Saccharomyces cerevisiae S288C: one gene and its partners. Each later gene encodes a partner of the first gene's protein in a complex. Each region holds a gene or a part of one and is shown on either strand. Other genes may lie near its edges.

The links.
Region 2: MRPL15 (region 1) and MRPL31 share a complex: the UniProt entries of both Saccharomyces cerevisiae proteins name them as parts of the mitochondrial large ribosomal subunit.
Region 3: MRPL15 (region 1) and MRPL40 share a complex: the UniProt entries of both Saccharomyces cerevisiae proteins name them as parts of the mitochondrial large ribosomal subunit.

What each region holds. Positions count from the first base shown.
Region 1 is NC_001144.5:757,914-760,770, reverse strand, and holds MRPL15 (mitochondrial 54S ribosomal protein mL57 MRPL15), read right to left. Parts: upstream 1,292-2,857; coding exon 530-1,291; downstream 1-529. Other genes in the region: SPH1 (Sph1p), read left to right, coding at 1-21; ATG39 (Atg39p), read left to right, coding at 1,938-2,857. UniProt on the Saccharomyces cerevisiae protein: Component of the mitochondrial ribosome (mitoribosome), a dedicated translation machinery responsible for the synthesis of mitochondrial genome-encoded proteins, including at least some of the essential transmembrane subunits of the mitochondrial respiratory chain.
Region 2 is NC_001143.9:184,786-187,541, forward strand, and holds MRPL31 (mitochondrial 54S ribosomal protein mL60 MRPL31), read right to left. Parts: upstream 897-2,756; coding exon 501-896; downstream 1-500. Other genes in the region: HSK3 (Hsk3p), read right to left, coding at 18-227; CMC1 (Cmc1p), read left to right, coding at 1,172-1,507; APL2 (Apl2p), read right to left, coding at 1,675-2,756. UniProt on the Saccharomyces cerevisiae protein: Component of the mitochondrial ribosome (mitoribosome), a dedicated translation machinery responsible for the synthesis of mitochondrial genome-encoded proteins, including at least some of the essential transmembrane subunits of the mitochondrial respiratory chain.
Region 3 is NC_001148.4:221,331-224,536, reverse strand, and holds MRPL40 (mitochondrial 54S ribosomal protein uL24m MRPL40), read right to left. Parts: upstream 1,395-3,206; coding exon 501-1,394; downstream 1-500. Other genes in the region: COX10 (protoheme IX farnesyltransferase), read left to right, coding at 1-184; NIP100 (Nip100p), read left to right, coding at 1,764-3,206. UniProt on the Saccharomyces cerevisiae protein: Component of the mitochondrial ribosome (mitoribosome), a dedicated translation machinery responsible for the synthesis of mitochondrial genome-encoded proteins, including at least some of the essential transmembrane subunits of the mitochondrial respiratory chain.

The DNA of each region.
Region 1 (2,857 bases):
ATGGCAGGCAGGGCATTTTGAATGATGTTCAAGCCTCTAAATCAAAATTGTTCAAGTCCGCAAGATCAGTTTCGAGATTATGTCAAAATTCCATCGAGATTATTCCTATTTTGGAATCGGTGATTGATATGACTACCAAAGCAATGGTCCAAAAAAGTTTTAAACTGGATTTAGGCGAGCACTGTAAAGAAATTATTGAAAGGCTCACAGATTGCTCGCAAAAGTTATCGGAATTGTGTACTTATGGATGCGATTCCACAAAGCTTGGGAAGAAACGATTCTATCAAAAATTAGCAGATATCCTGATGGAAGTAACCAAGCGCACCAGGGAATTGGTTGAATGTGTGAAGATGGCGAACAGGCAGACTCTTTCACAGGACCTCTCGTCATTTTTCAATTATAGATCTGTACAGTAAAGTCATATATATTCTTTAGTTATTATCTTATTTTATTTCGATCACTATTTACAGATAAATTTTTCTTTTATACATTTTTGGCCAGTGAACCATCAACTATATTTTTTGTATCTTCACAGAAATGCTTTATTTTCCTTGTCGGATATTTTTGCCTTTGCAGATGCTACATTTTCATTAGCAATGTTAACCAAGGAATGAAGATCTTCTTTATCCAGCAAACTTCCTTGGATAAATTTAGCTGCTTTTTCAGATCCATTCGTTGACAGAATTGCACCAATAAATGCGTTCAAGACACTAGCAAAAATCGTGGTTTCACCATTTATGTGGCCATCTTTTATTGGGTCTCTCATCTTCCAAAATATGAAAGGGTCTAGATTATGTAATTTAACGAATGTGCATGCTGTGTTTTTGGACGTTAATTCCTTAGCGAATTTTGTTCCCAGATTGCTGAACTGCAAAGAAAGTTGCCCGTTCTCGCAACTCTCGGCCGGCGAACCATTCTTTAACGAATGAATGCACGTCTGTAGTTTCAAAAACTGTGCTCCTAGCAGATTCAGTTTTTCGTTGTATGGCTTTGACCCGTGTGCGAACGACTTATGTGTTAAACACTGCAAAATCAGTTCGTTTGATAAATTTATTCCGTACTTGGGCAATTGTAGTATGGATCTAACTTTGTCTTGACACTCTTTTGCGTTAACTTCAGTAAAGAGTACCCCGCTAGGATTTCTCAAGTACGACTCTGGATCTCGTCTCAAACCATTAATTCTCGGACCCTTATGAAGGTATATGACTGTTCTAACGCTTTGTAAATTGCAGTTCAAAGCAGTAACGGGTCTCCGCAAGGAACGCGATATAAACATCATGCTATTTTCCATGTTTCCGAGCTTGTCTACTCTTTACTTTCCATCTACCGTTATAGTTTTATATCTCGCTCTTGTTCATACTATATGCAAGTTTTCCAACGCTTCCCATAGCATAAGCTTGGATAGCGAAACCTAAGTTGTTTTTTTTTTCAAAAACTCATCAATTAGGGCAAACTTGAATAGTCAGCTAGGTCATATATTTAAAATCAATTAGCCCTATGACTACATTAGGTTTATTGTTAGGTCTTTACGGCTGCATATTTGCTTTCGCCGTTCGGCGGGGTCCTGCGACGATTTCTGCGCGGTCTTGTATGGGTGGAGTTGACAGTTAACCCTCCGGACCCCCTACCCCGGTGTGCCCCCGGTCCATCTATCCATTTTGCGGTAACCCCTTTGCGCGACAGCTGCTTATCAAGGTACCTGGATCGAGCCATAAAAATTGATCTACACAGATGAGATGGGGCATTGGGATATATTATTAGTCGGAGTATCATTATAGTTATTCAGTTTTATGCAGGTTACTGGCCAAACGTTTTTCTTCATTTGGAATAATCGTTTAGGAGCTACTGTTCCGGTATAAAGTAACAAGCACAGTAGCAGAGTAATACGCAGTGACGATAATAGAGACTAGTAAAACAGTCGAGTTGTCGGACCTAAAATGTCAGAAGAAGACGATCATTGGAATTTAGTTAGATTACGTAGATTACGTAAAGGGAGAGAAGGGGAAGAACAGTCATCGAAGTCAGAAATATCTTTGGATAGTTTGCATGAAAGCTCCTTTGCAGGAGAGGACGACGAGGACTTCGATGCAGATGTCCTATCGAACACTAGCAGTGAAGAGTCTGCACAGATGAATCGTATTTACGATTTTAGAACATCTAATGAATTTAGTAATGCTGGAGTTAATATTGATCAAACTGGAGTTCCCACTATTTCAGAGTCATTTGATACTTTGTCCGGCTCAAATGTTGGCGGAACGGTATTGCCAAGTATGGAGGGGTCGAAACTGAAGGATAGTACGATAAGGAATTCTAGCACACTATCGGATCATATCATAGATAAAAGTGAGGGTAAATCTGCTAAATTGAAGATGTGGCATGTTATCATGCTATCTTCATTGCTTTCCATGACCTTTTCATACCTCGCCCTCGAATATTCCCTGACTGGTGATGTGTTGGCAGGTTTTAAATCACAACAGTCATTACGTAATAATGAAAGGAAGCTGTTGTACGGCAATATCGATTTTGTTGATAAAAAATCTTACGATTCATCAAGTGACTCTTTAAGTCAGTGGGCTCCTTCAGGAAAATACTACGTCGACTTCGACAATCATATTGCATACCCATTAAAGGATGATGACCTAATGGGCTGGAGACGATACAAAACAGACTTAGTTATTTTATGGTATACAACAAAAGCTCGAATGAAAGACGGTTGGCACAAGAGAATTAACAAAATAAACGGAGGAAGAATAAAGTTACACCTATTTCTCAAGAATTCTTTTAAATCCGCTCAAGAAAGTTTAAGGGTATTGCATAAAGAACAGAAACGCCGCTGGAAAAGGCTCTTTGTGCTACT
Region 2 (2,756 bases), on another chromosome or scaffold:
GTCTTACCTCTTATGCCTTATTGCGTTTTTCCAAGCATCTGCTCCATATAATAAATGTAACTACCTATCAACCAACTTCCATGTACCTTACCCAATTGGCCTACCAAGTTTTCGTTACATTGTTTCGACATGATATCTAGTTGTTTTGTCGTTTCCTGTAAATTCGTTTGAAGCTCTCTAAGTTCGTGTGCAAGCTGATTATACTGCCTTTGTTTGTTAGCGTTCATTCTCTTGCCTGAAATTCTTTGTGTCCTCTTCGTTTTGAAGTTCAAATGTTCTGATATGTTCTATTTCGCCATTTATCTTGTTGATCTTTCTTCCCACCTTTACAAAAAAATAACGTTGATTTCAATGGGCATGATATAATATGAGCAATACAAAACATCAAAGCCTTCTTAGGAGTGTTACTTTCAAACATGGATCTATAAACAAGTTATTCAATGATTAAACTATATACAGATGAAATTTTTATATCAATAAAACGATCTTTTACGTATCATTCAAAAGAATTTTGGGGCCTTTCTAATGGAAATCTTCGTCCACTTGGGCACCTTATGAATACCCTTCCTATAACCAACAGCTTTTTTATCAAAAGTCCAATATTTATCTTTAGAAGACATTTGATTCTCCTTTGGAAAGACTGATGGTTTGTTTAACAACCTTAACGATTTACTTCTTGGCTTGTATTTCTTTTTGCTCTCCATGGCTTCTTGATAAGTAAGACCTTTATCCTGACATCTTTGGACGTGGAGACCTAAAGTTAATTGCTTTATGACTTGATCAACGTTTCTTAATCTTTCCCTTTGACGGGTTTTTTGATGTGTGGACATTCTCCATGGAATTTTCCATAGTAGGCCACCAGCGACGGGGCTTGTTAATTTGAATGGGCCAAACATTGGAGTCTTATAACTTGGGTAGCCTTTTAAATACGTCTCCTTCCTACAAAGTACGGATATCTTTTTTCCCTCTTTGGCTTCCCTTTGTCCTTTTGTTATACCGTTCTCTTGAACTTTTTGAATGCTCTTGTACTTCTCCGATTATAAAGTTGAAAACGGAGTGCCCTGTATTTATACCTATGATAGTTTAGGAAGATTTAACCATAATTAAAGCCAGAGATACAAAAGTCGAATATCTTCAAGTTATCTGGAACAACTTTCATATATTTGATAAGATGGAGCAAAACAAAGATCCGCAGATGATCTCGAAACATAGTTCTAGGCTACCTATATGGGTGCTAAGTCCTCGCGAAGAACAACAGGCTCGCAAGAACTTGAAGACGGAAACATACAAAAAATGTGCAAATTTTGTTCAAGCAATGGCAGATTGTGCTAAGGCAAATGGAATGAAAGTTTTTCCCACTTGTGATAAGCAACGAGATGAAATGAAATCGTGCCTCCTGTTTTATCAAACAGATGAGAAATATTTAGATGGTGAAAGGGATAAAATTGTTTTAGAAAAAATCAACAAGCTTGAAAAGTTATGTCAAAAACAAAGCTCTACAAAATAAGCTGTGTTGATTGATGTTTTTGATTTACATCTTTTAAGGATTTTTTGATATATCCATTCTTGTACATAAATTATATACACACAGCCCAACAATAAAAAGGAAAAATTAATACGAAGGGTATATATGTATGGTATAATACTTAAGTTCACTACAACGGACGTTTATAGTCAGAATAAATCGAGGAGATCCTGTGACACTATATTGCCGCCCGAAACATCGGGATTGTTTTTACCACCAGAAGATATACCGTTTGAGTCGCCACCTAGTTTCAGCTCCTTCAACCCTTGTACAGCCTTGGTATCATTTGTATTTATTTGTGTGGCATCCTCAGATGGTCCGAAATCAAATAAATCATCCAAATCGCCTAAAGTTGTTAAAGTATTCAGCATTCCTGCATTTGTATTTGTTACATCATCTCTTTCATCAAAATCCAATAGCACATCATCGTTAGCCTTGCTAGAAATTTCATTTTTTGCCATGCTTTCTAATTCCTCTATATGTTTTCCTTTAACTATATTTTGAACATACTTTTTGCCTTTTCTCCTATTTGAGTCGGGCTTGAAATAAATGGAACTTATAGTACCCAATTCCATTAATAGTTTCTCTAGCACTTCTGGTGAAAACTTCTCCAGTGTATTGGAGATCATTGGAAGTTTATTTTGACATAGATCATTAACCAAACTTTCATTATTTGGCATCGAAAGGCATCTCCAATACATCATAGCCATATCTCGCACATCTAATTCATGTGTCTGTTGTGTGGCCAATTCTAGGACGCTTTGTAGCATACTACCCGTTAAAGTAGCATGTAGTCTGACTATTGTCATTAGTAAAGACATCTGTGTTAAAGCTTCCTCTTGAACAAAGTTCTCTATAAAAATATTGATTTTTGACTCCAAATCTGAGAAATTGTTGGGATGCTGTCCTAGCAACCAGACATAGTTGCACTTCGCAATATCTGATTGTAATAACACCTCTGGATTTGACCAAGTATTAAATACTGCACAAACTTGTTTGGCCATCTTATCGTTTCCGGGGCAATGTCTTAATAAATCACATAATGATATACAGCAGTCGTCTTTTATTGTGTCTTGTCTTTCTAACAATTCTAGGAGAATATCCAAGACTTTACTGACGAATGATTCTTGTGCATATTTAATACCCAACTGGGACAAAGCTTGAATAGCTCTTGAAACAAACTCAGGTTCATATTCCATTGCGTATTCCTTTAATTCTGTCAACAACAAAG
Region 3 (3,206 bases), on another chromosome or scaffold:
AACATTAAAAGATAACGTCAAGTTTAATAAAGGTCTAAGTGTAGCCAACATTTATGCAAGGAAAACTTTTATGGCTAGTGTATTGCACCTACCGGCAATTCTAATCCTAGCCATTATACATAAAAAAGGCCGCTGGGATTGGATATATCCTGGTGAAGCAAAGCGACCACAGGAACGATTTTAGCATTAGTACAATGAGATAAAGAGACAACGCTTAAAGGGCAGTCATTAATCTTGTAAATAAATATTTAAACCCTTTTATTGGTTAAAAATAATGTACATACGCACATAATTTATTTTTAAAGAAAAGATTTTGTAATTTGAAGTCATCACGTTTGCCCACATCAATATCTGAATATTCTTTGAACTTTACTTTATGCTTTCATATATACAGGTCGAATATAACTTATTTACTACGTGAATAGTGAAGGGGATATACTGATTAAAAAAATCACACTAGAGAATCAAATATAAAAATAGAGTGCATACACTTGGTACATTTATTCTCTTTTTTGTTTTTCCAAAAATTCAAAAACCCTCGCCCCAATAGCTTCCATGTCCTCTTCAGTTAGTTTTGGTACTTCTCTCTCAGCCAACTCCTTTTTTTCTGCCAAATGGCTTTTTCTTACCTCTGTTAGGGGCATCTCAGGTGCTACTAGCTTAGCTATATCTTTCGCTGTCAAGGTACCCCTTTTGTACTTAGAATGAGGATTGCGAATACTTGGTATTGCCTTTTTTGGAATAGGGTTTCTCACTACGGAATCGACCCAAAATGTTTGTTCTCTAGCAATTACAGGATCGGTAGCCAAGTTCGTTTGCACATCAATTGGGTCTGGTTTAGGCCATGGAATGATCAAGTCTGGTTGACCCTTTACGCATCTATATGGCATTACCTTTTTGTAGTCTGCATCATAGTAGGAACCATTGAAGGAAACATCCCTTACTGCCACCGTTCTTGTCTTTCCTGGGGTCTTTTCATCGTCAATATCAGCAACTAGCCTTAAATCCTTTCCCAAAATTGAAACTGGAATTGTTATCATGTGAGATGTTTGGCCTTCAAGCCAGAATTGTTTAGGAACTGGAACAGTCTTTGTGGGCCCATTCTCATCTAATATGAATGAATTTGTTCTTTTATCGAAAGATTTAATTACAGCTATATTTCCTTTGGAAGCCCCGCTCATTACTACTACTCTGTCGCCAGGTATAAACTTCCATTCTTTTTCACTCTTGAAACTAGTTTTCTCATCTACTTCCTTTAAATCTGACTTCATGAACTCAGGCGTAGATTTTTTAATGAACTTTTCACTATGAGGAAGAAAGTTTTTGGGTCGATTCCCCAATCTTTTCATAACACGCGATCCAACGTTTGATAAATGTTGATAGCTTCCAGACATGATGGATTACAAATTTTGTTGCTGATAATGTTCTTTACGGTGGATTACTCTTATCAGGTAATCCTTAAGTAGCTGTTAAAGAGCAGTAGGTACTTTTGAATCTAACATGTCGTTATTTTTCATGTCGCTTTTCAACCGGGTATTTTACAATGCTTAACAAAAAATGCATATATGTTGAAAAGTCACTTATGTAAACGTACAGTTGTAAGGTGCTTTCTTTTTACTCTAACCTCCACACTGAGATTGTTGGCGTAACTGTAGAGAGTTACTCATATGCTGCTAGACTTTATGTTGTACTTTACTTTTGCAAAGTACATAATACTATTCTAGATTCGATCTCCATCAACCTCGCAGTACAGCCTTGGACAAATGCGCAATGCAGGTGTTCAAGTTGACACAAATATGCAGAAGATAAGCTTACAGGACACAGTTCTAGTCAACGAGATGAAGGGGCGGGTGAAATTCATTGGGGAAACTCAATTTGCAAAAGGCATATGGTACGGCATTGAACTAGATAAACCGTTAGGAAAGAATGATGGAAGCGCTAACGGTATTCGTTACTTTGATATCGACCTGAAGAAAGCTAATTCAAATGGTGGTTATTATGGTCTTTTCTGCAAGAAAGATACGTTGCAGTTTTATAAACCAGATGACGATGAGCATAGTTTGCTAAATGGTAATGCAGCGCAAGAAACAATTAAGAATCTACAAGTAAAATGTGAATCATTGGCGTCCAAATTAAATAAAATTAAAATAGAAAATCATGAGCTGAAAACTTCCGTTGAAAAGCTGAGTACTAATGAAACTGTTCTATTGTCTAAAATCTCAAGATTGGATAAACTAGTCAAAGAACTGAAAGTGGAAAATGGTAATATGAAAACTCATTTGGATAATTTCAATCACCTATTAGATGCTTCAGATAGTGTAATGGCACCGGATCTCGACAAAGGCACACTGTTAGAAAGGAGCCATCTTCTTCAGGGACTACTCGACCAAACAAAGTTGTCATATGATAAAGCTATGAAGGTGCAAGAGGACCTGCTCGAGGAGAATACTCAGTTATTAGAAGAAAATGCAGTATTATCTAAAAAAATATCGGATTTAGGTCTGCAATTGCAACAGACTAATAATACAATCGGCGACCTTGCCTTGCAGATTGAAGCTCAAAGTAAATCATCTAATATTGTTGATAAATTGACTAATGATAATATCCTACTCACAAGTAATATAAAGGCTTTAAACAATGAGTTGGAGGAACTACAGGCAAAAGAAAAATTGGATGAAAATTTAAGAATTACCTATGAGCAACTCGAGCAAGAACTGAGACTGCAATTAAGTAATTTGCAATCTGCATTGGAAAATGAAAAGGAGATAGCAGGCACATATATCGAAGAAAATTCAAGATTAAAAGCAACATTGGAATCTATTGAAGCCAAAACATCTCACAAATTTCAAAGTCTTGAACTAAAAGTGAACACTTTACAGGAGGAATTATATCAAAATAAATTGCTAAAGAAATTTTACCAAATATATGAGCCATTTGCACAACCACATTTGGCGGCTCTTTCCTCTCAATTGCAATATTTAGCCGAAGTAATCGAAAGTGAAAATTTTGGAAAGTTGGAGAATATTGAAATCCATATAATTCTAAAAGTGTTGAGCTCTATCAGTTATGCGCTTCATATTTACACCATAAAGAATACTCCCGATCACCTGGAAACGACATTACAATGTTTCAAAGTAAATATTGCTCCGATTTCGATGTGGCTAAGCGAGTTTTTGCAAAGGAAGTTTTCTTCTAAACAGGAAACC